Linked DNA regions of Schizosaccharomyces pombe. The protein of the gene in region 2 purifies or fractionates together with the protein of the main gene of each other region. This does not show direct contact. Each region holds a gene or a part of one and is shown on either strand. Other genes may lie near its edges.

Region 1 (7,040 bases), on a different chromosome or scaffold from region 2:
GCTACAATACCTTCTGGACACTGTTCGCTTGCAAAAGATGAAGCATGATCAATTGCAGAATAAGCGATTGGTGATAGTTGCAAGTTTTGTTGATAACTATATGCAAGGAAGGTACGAGAAGACACCGCCAACACCGTATTTTGATTTTTCATGGTTATTGGATAGATCTTGACAGCTCGTGGACCCAAGAATCTAGTCCTTGTATCCAAAAGTTGCCCGGATGTAACGTCGATAACAGTTCGTAAATAGACACCATTCATTAAACCTATATGTAAATAGAGAGTACTCACACCATTTACGTTCATCGGAATTATGCATAAAGAATTGGCAGGAGAACTAAGGGCTTGTACACTCAAATTTTCTAAGGTTGTGTACAAATCGAGAGACAACACCCTCACCGTAGCATCGTCACATGCTAAGCACATAAAATTACTTCTTCTTGATCCTTCTTGTACGGGGCCTAAAGCCAAAGAAGTTACATTAGCAGTAAGCGTTTTTCTTTCTTGATATTCGTTGAGCTGACCTCCTTCAACATCATCACTCATTTCAAAATAAACGAGTTCTCCATTGCTTAAAGCAACAACTATTTGCATATCATTAATTGCCGACTGTACAACGTACACATCCTGAGGTAATTTCCATTCACTTGTTTGCTTATTAGCCCTAATATAACGAATACCTTTAGGATGAATTTGAACCAACGAATCCCTTCCCATTTGCCTCGCATTTAGAGTTGAGACTGATGATAAAAATCCACTATCAGATATTTCTTCAACCGTCTCTCCAATAGAAAGAACCAAGGTTCCATTTGTAAACGAAAGAATAATATAAGAGTCATAAACGTCGGTTTGATTTAATTTCAATGTCCAAATTGCAATAGGGGCACCGGGAAGTTCTGACGCTACGATCTCTGTGGTTTCTAAACCCCTTCTCAACTGACGCAGAGAAGAGTTTGAGCCTCTTCCACATACTGTATATAATTGATTAGCTTCGCCTGACGAGGGCGCCTTCATAAGTAACGTATCTGTTAACGAATATAGGCTTGGTATTTCTTCAACCAAAGAAAGGTTCTGTAGACCGCGGACTCCAAAATGCACATTTTTTGTACCGACTTCATTGTCCTGGGCTTGGAAATCTAAAGAAGTAATTTCCAATTCATCATCATCAATACCTAAATTCTCAAATTGATACAATTGGTGGTTTCCAAATTCCGTGGCAACGAATAGAAAACCAGTTTTCAAAATATTTAACTGAACTGCCAGGGGAACTGTATCAAAATATTTTAACCTTAGTTCAACAACATTCCCTTGACCATCATGCTCGATTGTCAGCTTCAGCAAATCCCCGTCACCAGTTTGTAAAAGATAAAAAAACGATCCTTTCATTTTATGGAGAACAGCACTAACAATCAAAGGACCATCATTTGCAGAGTTTGAATTGACTTGATTCCATGGAGTGGATATGGCGTTTGCCGATGCAGCTTGACGACGCAAAATGGGAATTTGATGAAATGCCTTCTGAAGGTGACGGTAGGAAATCCATCCGTTAGATATTACTAGTGTACCGGAGGGCCCATCATTACCACCGGGAACAGGGATTAACATATAAGAATTTCTGTCAACGACCTTCGACCATCTTTTGACAACATGGTTTAATCCCAAATCCAATTCGTAATATGATAAAACCTTTTCCGAAGATGTAAATGCTTCTCTAGTTGAGTCATGGTCTATTTCGCTGTAGTCGACTTCTAAGGCAGCGAAGATGGGATTAGCATAACCAGTATCTAACCCAATTAAATGGAAACATATATTATTAGCTTTATGAGCTTCAAGTGGTGAAGATATTGTTAGGTTAGCCTCTGAATCTCGATTTAGTACGTAAACCAGCTTATTTTTCTCCACAGATGCAATCATAGCGGCCCTCCCCTTCGCATCTATGGCTAAGTATTCACCAGGAACAACTCTTCGAATTCCTGATTTTCCAAAAGTTTCCTGGTATATTGGCACTAATTTATTTTTTTCAACGTTATATTCCAAAATGGTTATTCGTCCTGAATCCGACGTGACTACGAGATAATCGCGTTTAAAACCAGTTAATCTCAAAGGAGCAACATTTCGAATAATACCAAAACAATTTTGATTTAAAATACAATTCATTCTCCCATCAGTTGCATCAACTTTATATATAAGCAACCTTGATTCTGTAGCAATTACTATCTCCTGTGCCTTTTTACCAGACAAGGACGCGGCACACGAACTTTGAACATAATTACTATTCTGTATTGTTAAGGAATATAGAAACAGAGAAGGGAAGGTGTCCATCTCTATACTTTAGCTGAAACACGATCCTCGCTGAGAGAAGAAGTCAGTGTATCAAGGAAACTTATAGCAGAAGGTAAAAAACTTCGTTATATGTTGACTTTTCTAAATGAAGTTATTGCAATTGAAAATATTGTATAAATTTTCTGCTTTTAAATTATATTAAAGAATTAAAAAAAAGAAAAGAAAATTTAAAAGACCGCTACAAAAAATGTAACTTGCTCTTCAAAAACAAGAAAAAAAAAACATTACGACCATTAAACATAAGCTCATTAAAAAGAGAATAAACGATATCTCGAAGATTCCCTTGAAATAAGGACTCCGTAATCGCTATTCTCAGAAAGGGCATATTCGAGTGTTGAAGGAAGGAAATCCTTCTCAAATTCATGCAGCCATAGGCAACTGTTTAGTGGAATGAAAGGAAGATGACTGATAGCATCAAGGTAACTGTTTTTTTGCTGGTGCTCAAAAAAGGTTAAGGGAACGTCTGCTAAGCAAATTTCACATAAGAAGCACTTCTCCTTTAGTTTTCCAAGTATTAAAATACTACTTCCGTTTAAAAGCTTCATGTCTAAAACAGTTGCGGGCTGGAAATCCAACAGACTGCTTCCTAGTAATTCTGCATAATCCAAGCCAAAGTGGCATCCAGATACAGGCAACATAGTATTTTCCATAAGTTGGGAAATTATTAAGAATATATTCGGAGTATCCTTTCGAAAGAATAATGAAAATAATTGGTTTTTTTCATTACAGGATTTTGGTATAAGAGATGATACATTCCAATCAGTCCCTTCAAACAAAACAAGGTCTCCGGTTTTTAACCATTGCTTTTGACAAGTTAAAGAAGGGTAGCTAAAAATGACGTTGAATGAGTCTCTTAAAGATTCTTTCAAGGTTTTGAATGATACGAAATCATCAACAGAATTACTGTCGTCTTGATTTGCAAAATCCTTGAGAGAATAATAATCAGGATCTCTTAGCTGAAGGGGTTTTGTGCCCATAAAGTAACTTGTTAGTTTCGAGCGGAATAAAGAATGACGAATATAAATTACGGTTTCATTAATATGTTCAATAATCTCTTGCGGTGGAATAGAAGATGGTTCAGAAGTATTAAACTCGACGATAGCGTAATTCAACCATGAAATAAAGTGCTTCATATACTTTTTTTCCTCAAAAAGGCAATTGAGAAACGAAAAAACATTATTCTGTAAATAACCCAAAGTTGCTAGACAATCTTCCACCAATTTAGCATCTAGTAATGTGTTTCCCTTCATATGGCCCCATATTGACTTTCCTCTGGCAGAAGATAATAATACAGTTAACCTTTCACAAGCAGGTATTACGAATTCCTGACAGAAAATGATTAAGGACGTGTACGAATTCACCATCGCCCGTTCCCAATTTTTTAGTACTCGATCACCGACTCTTTCGTTGATCCATTCTTTGAGTAAGTCGCTGGGTATACCGTTCATTATAAATTGATATAACTCTAGTTGTAAAGAAAAGAAAGTTGTGTCACTGTACTTGGACACTAAAGCATCAAAGGTTTTAATAAAGCTAGCTTCTGATTTGAAGACATTGTCAAATTCTTCATACATAGCATTCAATACCTCCTCAAGATATCTTACCAAATGTTGCATACGTGTAGACATTGTTGCAATATCCACAATACTTCCCAAATCATTTTTAAGTAATGGCATATAAAGTGTTTTCAAAGAAATATTCGTTCCTCCTTTACAAATAAGAACATGATATGCTAAGTCGTTGGTTATGCTGTGTGAAATGGGAACCCCCTATAATTTGTGTGAGCAAGACATTTAATAACATGGGTATAATACCAAGTTCAAGGCTGATTTCAAAGAATCGCTTTCTCCGATTTTGTAAGACGAAAACATACTATGAATAGTTAGTACTTCTAATTTGTATCGATCGATAAAAAAACTTCTTTTAGAAAGATGCTAATAAATAAGGGGTTTTTGATACGCACTTTATGTATCTAATTCCACGTTCATCCAAAATACTTAAGAGCTCAACTTTTTTGTTATTTTCACCCTCTCGTTTCCTCGGCTCAAAAAATTGTGCGATTGCTTTTGAAGAAAATATACGTTCCCTAAAAAATGTAAGAGACAAGTCGCTTTGTGTTACTACTTACTCTTTTGCCGAACTAGGAAGTGTACCAAGTAAAGGCATATATGCAGTGGCATCAAATAAAAAATCATTGCGTTTTTCATTTACTATCGTTTCTTGCATGGCCCATGTTATCATTAGAACCGCTAAATCTCTGGAAGCTGGCCTTTGCTCAACCAGATGTCCTGTGGAGGAATCAATAATTTTAAGCTCTCCATTTTTAAATCCAACAACTATTAAATTCCCTATTTATGTTAATGATACAAAAAAAGTTTTCCAGTCGAGCCACGTACCATCGTGATTCCAACACAATTCAGTAGCCTCGAGATCATGAAAATCGACATCCCAAATTCTTTGACTGTTACTTCTACAGCAAATCAAATGATTTGAACACGTTAATATCGCAATGAGTTCCATAGAAGGGCATAAGATTACTCGTTTAAGGCCACTTCCAACCCTTTCAACTCTATTAGTTTCATTAATCCATTCAAATTTATGCTTTTTAGGGTATTTGAAAGATTTTGACACCATTTGGATAAGACTGGATGATTTTGGTGATTCGTAGAAGTTTGTTTATTGTAGTACAGCAAGTCAATAAAAGCCTGTTCAGGTATATAAAATATCTAGTGAATGGATAGTTTCAACAATTATCATACAACCTTTTTAAATTTGCTAGCATAGATGGTTTATTAGGAAGTAAGACTGATATTGCAAAACTGAAGTTGATGAAAGTTGTAGGGATACAAAACATTAAGAAAGCGATTATCCAACTGTGCATACCTCGTTAGTACGATGTTTATTTACATCTAAAGAAAAATCATTTCCTCATGGTTCAAGTTCGCTTAAAATAATTCTTTAATGATAAAAATTTCAATTGAGTTTGGCAATAAGAGATTCACTTTTAATAATTGCTGATTGCTATGTTTTAAATACATTGTAAATAAACCAATATTATTCATTAATTCAATAGCTGAAATTCTAGAATCGTTAAAAAAGTCTTTCTTTTACGCATTATATATCTTTTAATCGAAGGAGATGCCTCATAGTTGGCCTTCCATGAGGGCAATTCCAAGGCTTGCTCAACTCAGCAAGATGCCTAACTATTGTATTCATTTCGGATATAGTTAGAGCCCTACCAATCATGACACTGCTTCTACAAGCCTTTGAAGCAAGCATTCGCTCAAGCCTACTACTAAATGGGTCTATCTGTGGGTGCTCAGACAACACACTGATGATCTCTAGTAAATCTACAGAAGTTAAAGGTCAAGATCTTCGTTAATAAACTTACCACTAGTGTCAAAAATGACATTCTTACTCGTGGGAACTGAAAGAAGAGTGCAGCGATTACCAACTCGCTGATTTAAATCTATAGCAACGCCGAATCCTTTTCTTCGAATTAAATCTATATGGTCAATTAAAACAGTTTCCTCTGTAGCAGCTAAATCCAGTCTTTTTGGAAGGACTAAGTCTTGGCTGTTGATAACTAAATTACTTTTGAGATGTTCATAGTTGAACTTTTCATCGCTGGCATGTTGATCAATTATAAACAAATTGTTTCCATGAACAACCACTATGAATCCTCTATTGAATTGACCAACAACCCTCATTCTTAAAAAATCGGCTTTATGTACAGTTAGATTCAAATGATCTTCCTGATTTTCATCTGAAATATCATGCACCACGCCAATCTTGTTCGAAAATTTCAGTAAGGCATCGCTTCGAACAATATCTTTTTGCACTCCACTCAAAGATATATTTATTTTTTTACTAAACTTGTTTAAACCATCCAAGGGCCTAGATTGAAAAAATTTGAGCTTTTGTAGCGCTGCAGTTTTTGACGGAATTCTGTTCGCAACACTGGTTTGCTCAGTACGAGGAATGCTCGAGAGTGTGGAAACTGATTCTGCGTTGTGTACCGACTCAATCTCGTTTAAATTAATTGTTTTAGCAACAGGTGTTGATGCTGGACTTGGATCATTTAGTAACAAATTGTTAGGATTCGAGCTAGGTTTATTGATGGGTTGCTTTAGTGGGAAACTAGAGTCTATTGTTTTCTGCATAGAAGTATCAGTACTAGAAGCGAATAGGGCAAGCTTTTTCTTCATTCTTTCGGAAGAGGCCGTAACTTTTTCGTTTAATGGGCTACTTCGTCTCATAGAATCCTTTTGCAAACGCTCTGGCAAAGGTTTGGATACTTGTGCTAATGACGCTCCTTCTGCAACACTAGTGGATATTGCTGGTTGAGCAGTAGCTTCTACGAGCTTTCTTTTACATGGTGAGCGTTTATAAGAAAAACTTGAGTCATCACTTGTTTCGGATTCTGTTGCTGGAATTGACTGAGGCAATTCCTGATCTGTACTGTCTCCAGAGGAATCAGGAATTTGCGAGGAATATGAAAAAATGGATTGCGATCTGGAACAAGAAATTGCATGTCCGCAGCTTTCACATAGGTTTTGCAAGGAGTTTTTAATAAATTCAATTATGGAATCCTCTTCAGACAAAAATACAGATTTTTTGTCTGGAGATACATTGATGTCAATAGTTCCTAAAATAATTGGTTAGTAATGAGTGAACGTATATAGATTCTCTCAAACA
Region 2 (6,535 bases):
GCTGAACTAGAAGGGAAGCCGTCCTTAGCAAAACAATATGTTCATCAAGCCCTTTTGATCAGCTATTGCAGACAGCTTGGACCAAATGGTTTATCAATATTTTTTCAAAAAATTAAAGACCCAAATCACCAATCTCAGCGGCTATTTTTAGAGGATGTTCATAATACATATGTCCGAATCCATGAACGTTCTGCTGCCATCAGCAAAGAACAAGCTGAAAGCGGTGAAGGAGTAGAACAAATCCAGCTCTGTGCAGTTGATCCTAATACGAAACTTTCCATCACCATCCCGGAGGCAGGTTCTACTGATCCAGAGACACAAAAAGCTCGTGCAGCTTTTGAGTCTTTTCCTCCTAACCTCCAAAAAGCTCTTATGACCAATGATTTAGACAAGATTAATGTAGTTCTTGGAAAAATGGCAGTTGAAAATGCAGAAGAAGTTGTGGAAAAGCTCAGCAGTACTGGTATGTTGAGTATCGAAGAAGGAATCATCGACACAACGAAAGGTGAGACTATTCCTCAATTGTCTTAAATTTTTCTGCTTACGGGTGTGCTTTTAGTAAGCGAAAACACCAAAGTTACATGTTTGCCGTTGGCATTTTTAAATGGATAAACAACAATGAAATTTTATTTATTGATTTACCATACCTTGTGTGTACCGTATAATAAAATAAGTATTTAAACAATTTGTACATTTGCCATCAAAGCAACGTGGTCGCTGGGATATCTTCCTTCTAAAGGCTCCGCTTCCTTCATCTCACTGGGTAAAGGCACACGTAACAGTGCCTTTAATTTTATACCTTCAACGACTTGATTTTCGGGAGTTTGAAGTGAGGTATCACGATTCATAACAAATATGTAGTCCAAATGGCCCTGGTAAGCATGAGCCCAATTGGTAAATGCTGGATGATCAAACGTATTTTTTGCATTTTCTGGGTGAACCAGTTTATAGCCCACTGAATAAAGACTGAAAAGTACGGGATTTTGCTCGTGCTGCTGATAAAAAGAACGGTAGTGAGGTACATAGTCATTTTGTACATGCAAAATTCTCTTTTTTGGGGTAGAAGCTGTGGATTCGGGAACACTTGAGGTAGAAGAGGATTGACATTCTTCTTTGTCATCTTCATTGGAATCATTTTCTGTCTTAGTACTAGCATTTTTTTCTTCCAACTCAGATTCCCCAAATACGTAATTCATACTACGTTCTATAATGTCAGTAGCCCTTTGGCAGATGGATAGAGGGCGGGTAGTTAGCGCAGGAAAGTTGGTATCGAACGGTTCAGTGTTGAAGTCACCAGCTATAAAAACAGGCCAAGAAGGATGACTTTGTGCCATCTTGTTTACTTCCTTTACCAATATTGCACCTTGGCGTAACCTTTCGTAAGAGCCGTAAGGATGCCAAAATAAATGTGTAGTAGCCAAGAACAACCCTCTGCTCGGGTCATCTACCCTTTCAAGGCGTACACAACAACCGATGTTCTTGGTGTTCATTCTACCTGGTAATTCATCATGATCATCGTAATAAATAGTCAAATCTTGCACCTTTTTGAACAAAGAGGATTTCCAAAAAATCATAATTCCATGAGTTTTACCTTCACCTTTTATGAAATGCAATTCATAACCCAATCCACCTAATAACTTCTTGTAGAAATTAGGAACAAATTCAGCATCAACTTCTTGCATACATCCCAAAGTTGGTGAATAATAGGTTAATTCATTAGCGAGCATTCGTGAGCGATTTTTCCATTTTAATGCCTCACCACTGTGTGGAAACATTGAACGACGAATATTTGTCTGAGCAAGTACGTTGTAAGTCATAATAGTAATATCCAATGCAGACTTTTCAGTTTCAAACGGTGCATAATTAGGGATGGAGAGCATTTCACGCTTTATAAAGTCCGTATTGAATTCGGGTGGAGCATTGCTTGGTGGAGCAATAGGTTTTCGAGCAGCCTTCTTAGCTAATAATCAGTTAATAAAATTGAGCAACAAAAAATTAAACAAAGGAGTAGAGATTCGGTCTTAAAAAAAGTTTCACAACAACCTTCTTATTGTTGCTCGACTAGATGAACGAAAATTTTTTTTCATACCCATTTTCTCAAGTTTTTTTTGGCGTTGTTTCTCTATGTATTCAGGCGTTACGAACGAAGGAGGGCCTTTAGCTGAGCCTTTTTTCTTAACGGGTATCGAATCTGCCATCTTGTTCTTTTTCTGATCAAAGAATGATATAGCAAGTTTGGATAATCTATAATCAGTGTGGAATCGATCGATAAAAAACTTCAAAGTCAATGTACACGTTTTAGGACAAGTGTACATACAATGACTTTTGAGTAGACTTTATTTAAGTTTTCACAGCCGAAATGGATTAACGACTGTTGGTTCGTACAACCTCAGGTATATCATCTAAAATACCGCATACTAGCGTGCTCTCCTTGATGCCTTCTGTTCGCTTCAAGAAAAGGAGCCATTGGAGCTTCTTTGACTGATTTGAAAGGATCTGTTTCAAAATTATCTTCAATTGTATTTTTACCCTCGGCATTTGAAGAGCCTTGAATGAATGCAAAGGCATTAACTAAATCTTCGAGTTCCAAATCTTTCCAAGCCGGTTCATGCCTAAGCTGTTTGTTTTTCATTAAGATTAGATTTGCACTAGAATGTTGAATAGTCATCTCATCTTCTGTAACAGGTGGTAAGTGTTCTACTCGCACTTCGACATCGTCAACTGGAAGTCTATCTTTTAGCCAATCCGAGGCAAACAAAACTACTCCCGGTTTATTCATATGAACATAATTGTAATTCGAATCCATTAATTGTTTTACTGATTCCAAGTAGGAGACTTATGGTGCTTTTATACGGTTGGTGTTATTGGAGAAGTCGGTGGTAAGTGTGTAAACAAAGCATTTAGCAGCAAAGTCTACTAGTTGGGGGGAGGGAGATCTTTCCATGAAAATCAATTATAAGAATTCTAGATTAATTTCTTATTCACATAATTCTATGAACTTTTAAGTAGAAATAAAAATCAGTTAGGTGGTTTGCTACTATTCTTCTCAAAACCTTCGTCTCTTAATCTATTTATTCCTATTGGCATGTTATTTTTCTTGATAAATAAGGTAAATATATGTGCTTGCTTAGCTTACAAATTTCAAAGAATGACACTAATAGTGCAATGTTTTACTTAAGCTATGATTGTGTCCAAAACCCTAGCAATACTGACAGAGTTATAATGAAAAATTAAGCGTATATTTCACAATCATATAATCATATTCCCCCTTTTCTGAAAAAATGTCAATGGCAAATCATATACTGTTTTGAGTTAAAGAGGCTTTGGCAGATCATAAATCAGCCATCCTAATTAGTAAAAAGAATACAAAATTGTGATGGTTATGTTAAAAGTATTCCTAGTCATTAGTGCATCACCTTAGAGTCATGTGCTGTATATATATATGTGTCTACCTTTGCATAAACAAACTTGTATTCCACAGTCAAACTAGTACAATACACATCGTTCTGCGAAAACGTTCTGTTTATTTTTCAGCAAAAAATTAAAGTTTAAGCTATCATTCATTGCCAATCGCATATCAATTCCAAGATTTATTCATTGTTTATTTACATTTGGAAGCTAAACAATAACTTTCACGGAAGCAACAACACAACCAACAACCAACCCTTCAGAAGTAACTTTCGGAATAATTTTGTATTCAAACCTATATCGTTTATCATTCCTTTGGATTTCTTTTAATCTTTCTTTCGAACACGAAAAACTTACTCTTCACTAAGCTTCGAAATTTCCAATCAAACGATTTAACAATAAGAAAATTTTGTGCTTAAAATCACCAAAATGGATTCTCATGTTTTAGCATTTCCAATTCCTGATCCATCTACACCTCCTCCCGAAGAGGCATCCCTTTATGCTAGTAAATGTGACTATTATGAAAGCGATATTTACTCTCAAATTAGGAGATTAACCGAAGAAAAGTGCATTGAGACAGAAAAAGAGTTGCCAGTTAATATAAAACTACATGTCAAACATAAAGGAATGAGCATATCATCTTCCCGCAATGAACTAGTGGTTACTGTTTCAGGAAATTATAAAAATGTGTACACTGCAAAAATAAAGATTTTGCAAGCCATTCCCAAAATTCTAATCAGCAAACTTGTGCTCGAAGAACCCCTCGAAAACCTCCTTTTTGATGAAGATGGGTACGTTTATGAAGACACTATGAAACATTTGGACAAAATAACGGAAATAACGGGAGCAAAAATTTATATCATGCATCGTTCCATGTGTCATGATATCGATTTTCAGCTACGTACTGACAGCGGATTCAGCAATCGATTAAATGAACAACAAAGCTTCTACCAAAGGCATTTAGAGTCTACTAGGCATGAATTTTCATGTCAAAAGAACGCAGAGAATTCTTTTTTTATTGTCTTTTATGGTGACTATTGCAGCGTTGAACATGCTAGAATTCGCGTATTAGCATTAATGGATGAAATCAGAGGATTATCGGTAGTAGCTATTGCAACTTCTGTATCTTTTCAGCCAATTCTCGTTGGAAAAGCATTTTCTAGTACTGCCGGAATGAAGGCTACTGAATCAATTAATATTTATACATTACCGTTTTGCAGCGACTCAATCCCTCGGCTTCAAACCTTACCCGCCTTAAACTCAAGTAAAATAATTATTACAGGAGAAGAGGAAAAATTGCAAAGACTCGAAGAGGCGTTTTATTACGCAGAAGAACATCTAAAACTGTTTACTCACGTAACAGAAATTTCATTTGTTAAGCTTTTCGAATTTCTCGCTTACGAAATGGATGAGCTTCGGCTTATTATGGAAGAAAATTCTTCGTTTATTCGCTTTCCTGAGTATTTCAAAGAAGGAGGAGAAACGAGCCCAGAAAATTCAAAAGTCAAAATCTACTCATCTTCTATAGCGAATTCTGAAAAAACAGCACTCCGATTGGCAAAGCTTGCAAGTAAATATGTACAAGGAAAAACTCAGTTTGGAGTTGAAGACAACGAAGACTTTCTGAGAGTTGCTGGTTCTTGGAGAAGAGCGTCTACAATTGAAAAAGGAGTTTCAAGCTCTGAATTGTCCTCTATTGTATCCTCGACTGGCTCCATAGTGGAAACAAATGGAATAGGAGAAAAAATGTCATTCTCTCCTCTTAAGAAGCTAAGTATTCCACCAACAGAATTTGTAGCTCAAATTGCAATAATTTGCATGGCTTCTGGAGTCGAAATGCTCCTAAAAACCAATGGGATTGAATATTTCGGACAAGAAAACACCGTGCCTATAGCAATGGATAAAGCAAGCAAAATATTTTATAAATTTGGACAATCCCAATGGCACCAGATACTGCTTGAAGCCCCAACCAAGGATCAAGATTTCATATCCGGTAAAAAAAATGGAAAACTGGATAAGGTAAAGCAGCAATGCCGTTTCAACTTAAAGAATGGGGACATCTTGTTTTGTCCCCAGTCGACGAGTATATTCACGGTTGATATATATAGTGACGAATTGGAAAGAGTAATTAAAGGAATGAACACAATGTTGCTTGAATTTCCAGCTGAGATGCACTTTTACGTTCCAGAGGAGATTCACAAAAAACTCATTGGATTTCGAGGAGAGCAAATCCAACGTGTAACTAAACTTTATAATAGTTACATTGAATTCTCAACTACTCCTTTTGACTGTTACGGGCACAACGTGCTCATTCGCACACCATCAAAGTTCTCCGAAAATTTGTGGGCCGTCCGATCTTTATTCATTAAGACAGCTGAAGGATTAGGATACGACATCCCGAAGTATTTGTTTGCTAATTGAATTTTAAGTCAGAATCCAGTCATCGACCTGCCCATAGATCACCACACTTTCTCGTTATATTTTTTATGTCCATAACAGACACTCAAGCTGGTTATTAAATTCGGAAACTAAATTTTTTGAAAATCAAAAGTGCTCCACTGTATCAACTTTGATACACATCTTAAGTGCACAATATAATTTAATGAACGTGATCCACGCAGAATTTTGAAGCACATGACAAGTTTAAACTTTAAGCAGTTCAACGATTTGTGCAGGACGGCAACCACTGTTCGTATGCCTTTTTTATTTCTTATTTTGTTAATAAATTGTCATTGAAAACAAAAGATAAAACGTCGATAAACACAGCTAGATTGATATAATAACAACAAACATCTTTTCAGTAAAAAGAAGTAGAAACTGGCACTAACCGTTATTAATCAACTTGCTATACGCTGTGACATCTAACACTCTTTGACCAGTTAATTAGAATCGTATTTGATGAGAAAACGATATTGAGTTAATCCATCCACTTTCTTTGGAATGCATGATGATTAAATTAGTAAATTAAAGAAACAAAAAGGGATTACACAAGAGTTGTTAAACATAAAGACGTCGTTCGACTATAAAAAAAGACGTGTGAACCGTAATGCACCCTTTGCGGTTATTGGGTTTCTTCGGTTTTTTTTATACAAATTATATTACGCTTAACTGAACGAACTAATCAAGT

The links. Proteins that work in one complex are often made in the same cells at the same time.
Region 1: the proteins of apc13 (region 2) and cut20 purify together in Schizosaccharomyces pombe (affinity purification with mass spectrometry; 4 studies listed by BioGRID, with this or other methods). This does not show direct contact.

Annotation. Positions count from the first base shown.
Region 1 is NC_003424.3:4,039,444-4,046,483, forward strand, and holds cut20 (anaphase-promoting complex platform subcomplex scaffold WD repeat subunit Apc4/Cut20), read right to left. Parts: upstream 5,182-7,040; 5' UTR 4,977-5,181; coding exon 4,739-4,976; exon of another isoform or gene 4,691-4,738; coding exon 4,471-4,690; exon of another isoform or gene 4,429-4,470; coding exon 4,306-4,428; exon of another isoform or gene 4,286-4,305; intron 4,215-4,285; coding exon 4,157-4,214; intron 4,131-4,156; exon of another isoform or gene 4,112-4,130; coding exon 2,591-4,111; 3' UTR 2,366-2,590; downstream 1-2,365. Other genes in the region: prp12 (U2 snRNP-associated protein), read right to left, coding at 1-2,321; MutL family mismatch-repair protein Pms1, read right to left, coding at 5,457-5,692, 5,734-6,990.
Region 2 is NC_003423.3:1,832,490-1,839,024, forward strand, and holds apc13 (anaphase-promoting complex TPR lobe accessory factor Apc13), read right to left. Parts: upstream 2,867-6,535; 5' UTR 2,807-2,866; coding exon 2,399-2,806; downstream 1-2,398. Other genes in the region: Hsp90 co-chaperone Cdc37, read left to right, coding at 1-531; SPOM_SPBC9B6.11C (CCR4/nocturin family endoribonuclease), read right to left, coding at 678-1,960, 2,090-2,315; SPOM_SPBC28E12.02 (BICC1 family RNA-binding protein), read left to right, coding at 3,838-5,829. UniProt on the Schizosaccharomyces pombe protein: Component of the anaphase promoting complex/cyclosome (APC/C), a cell cycle-regulated E3 ubiquitin-protein ligase complex that controls progression through mitosis and the G1 phase of the cell cycle.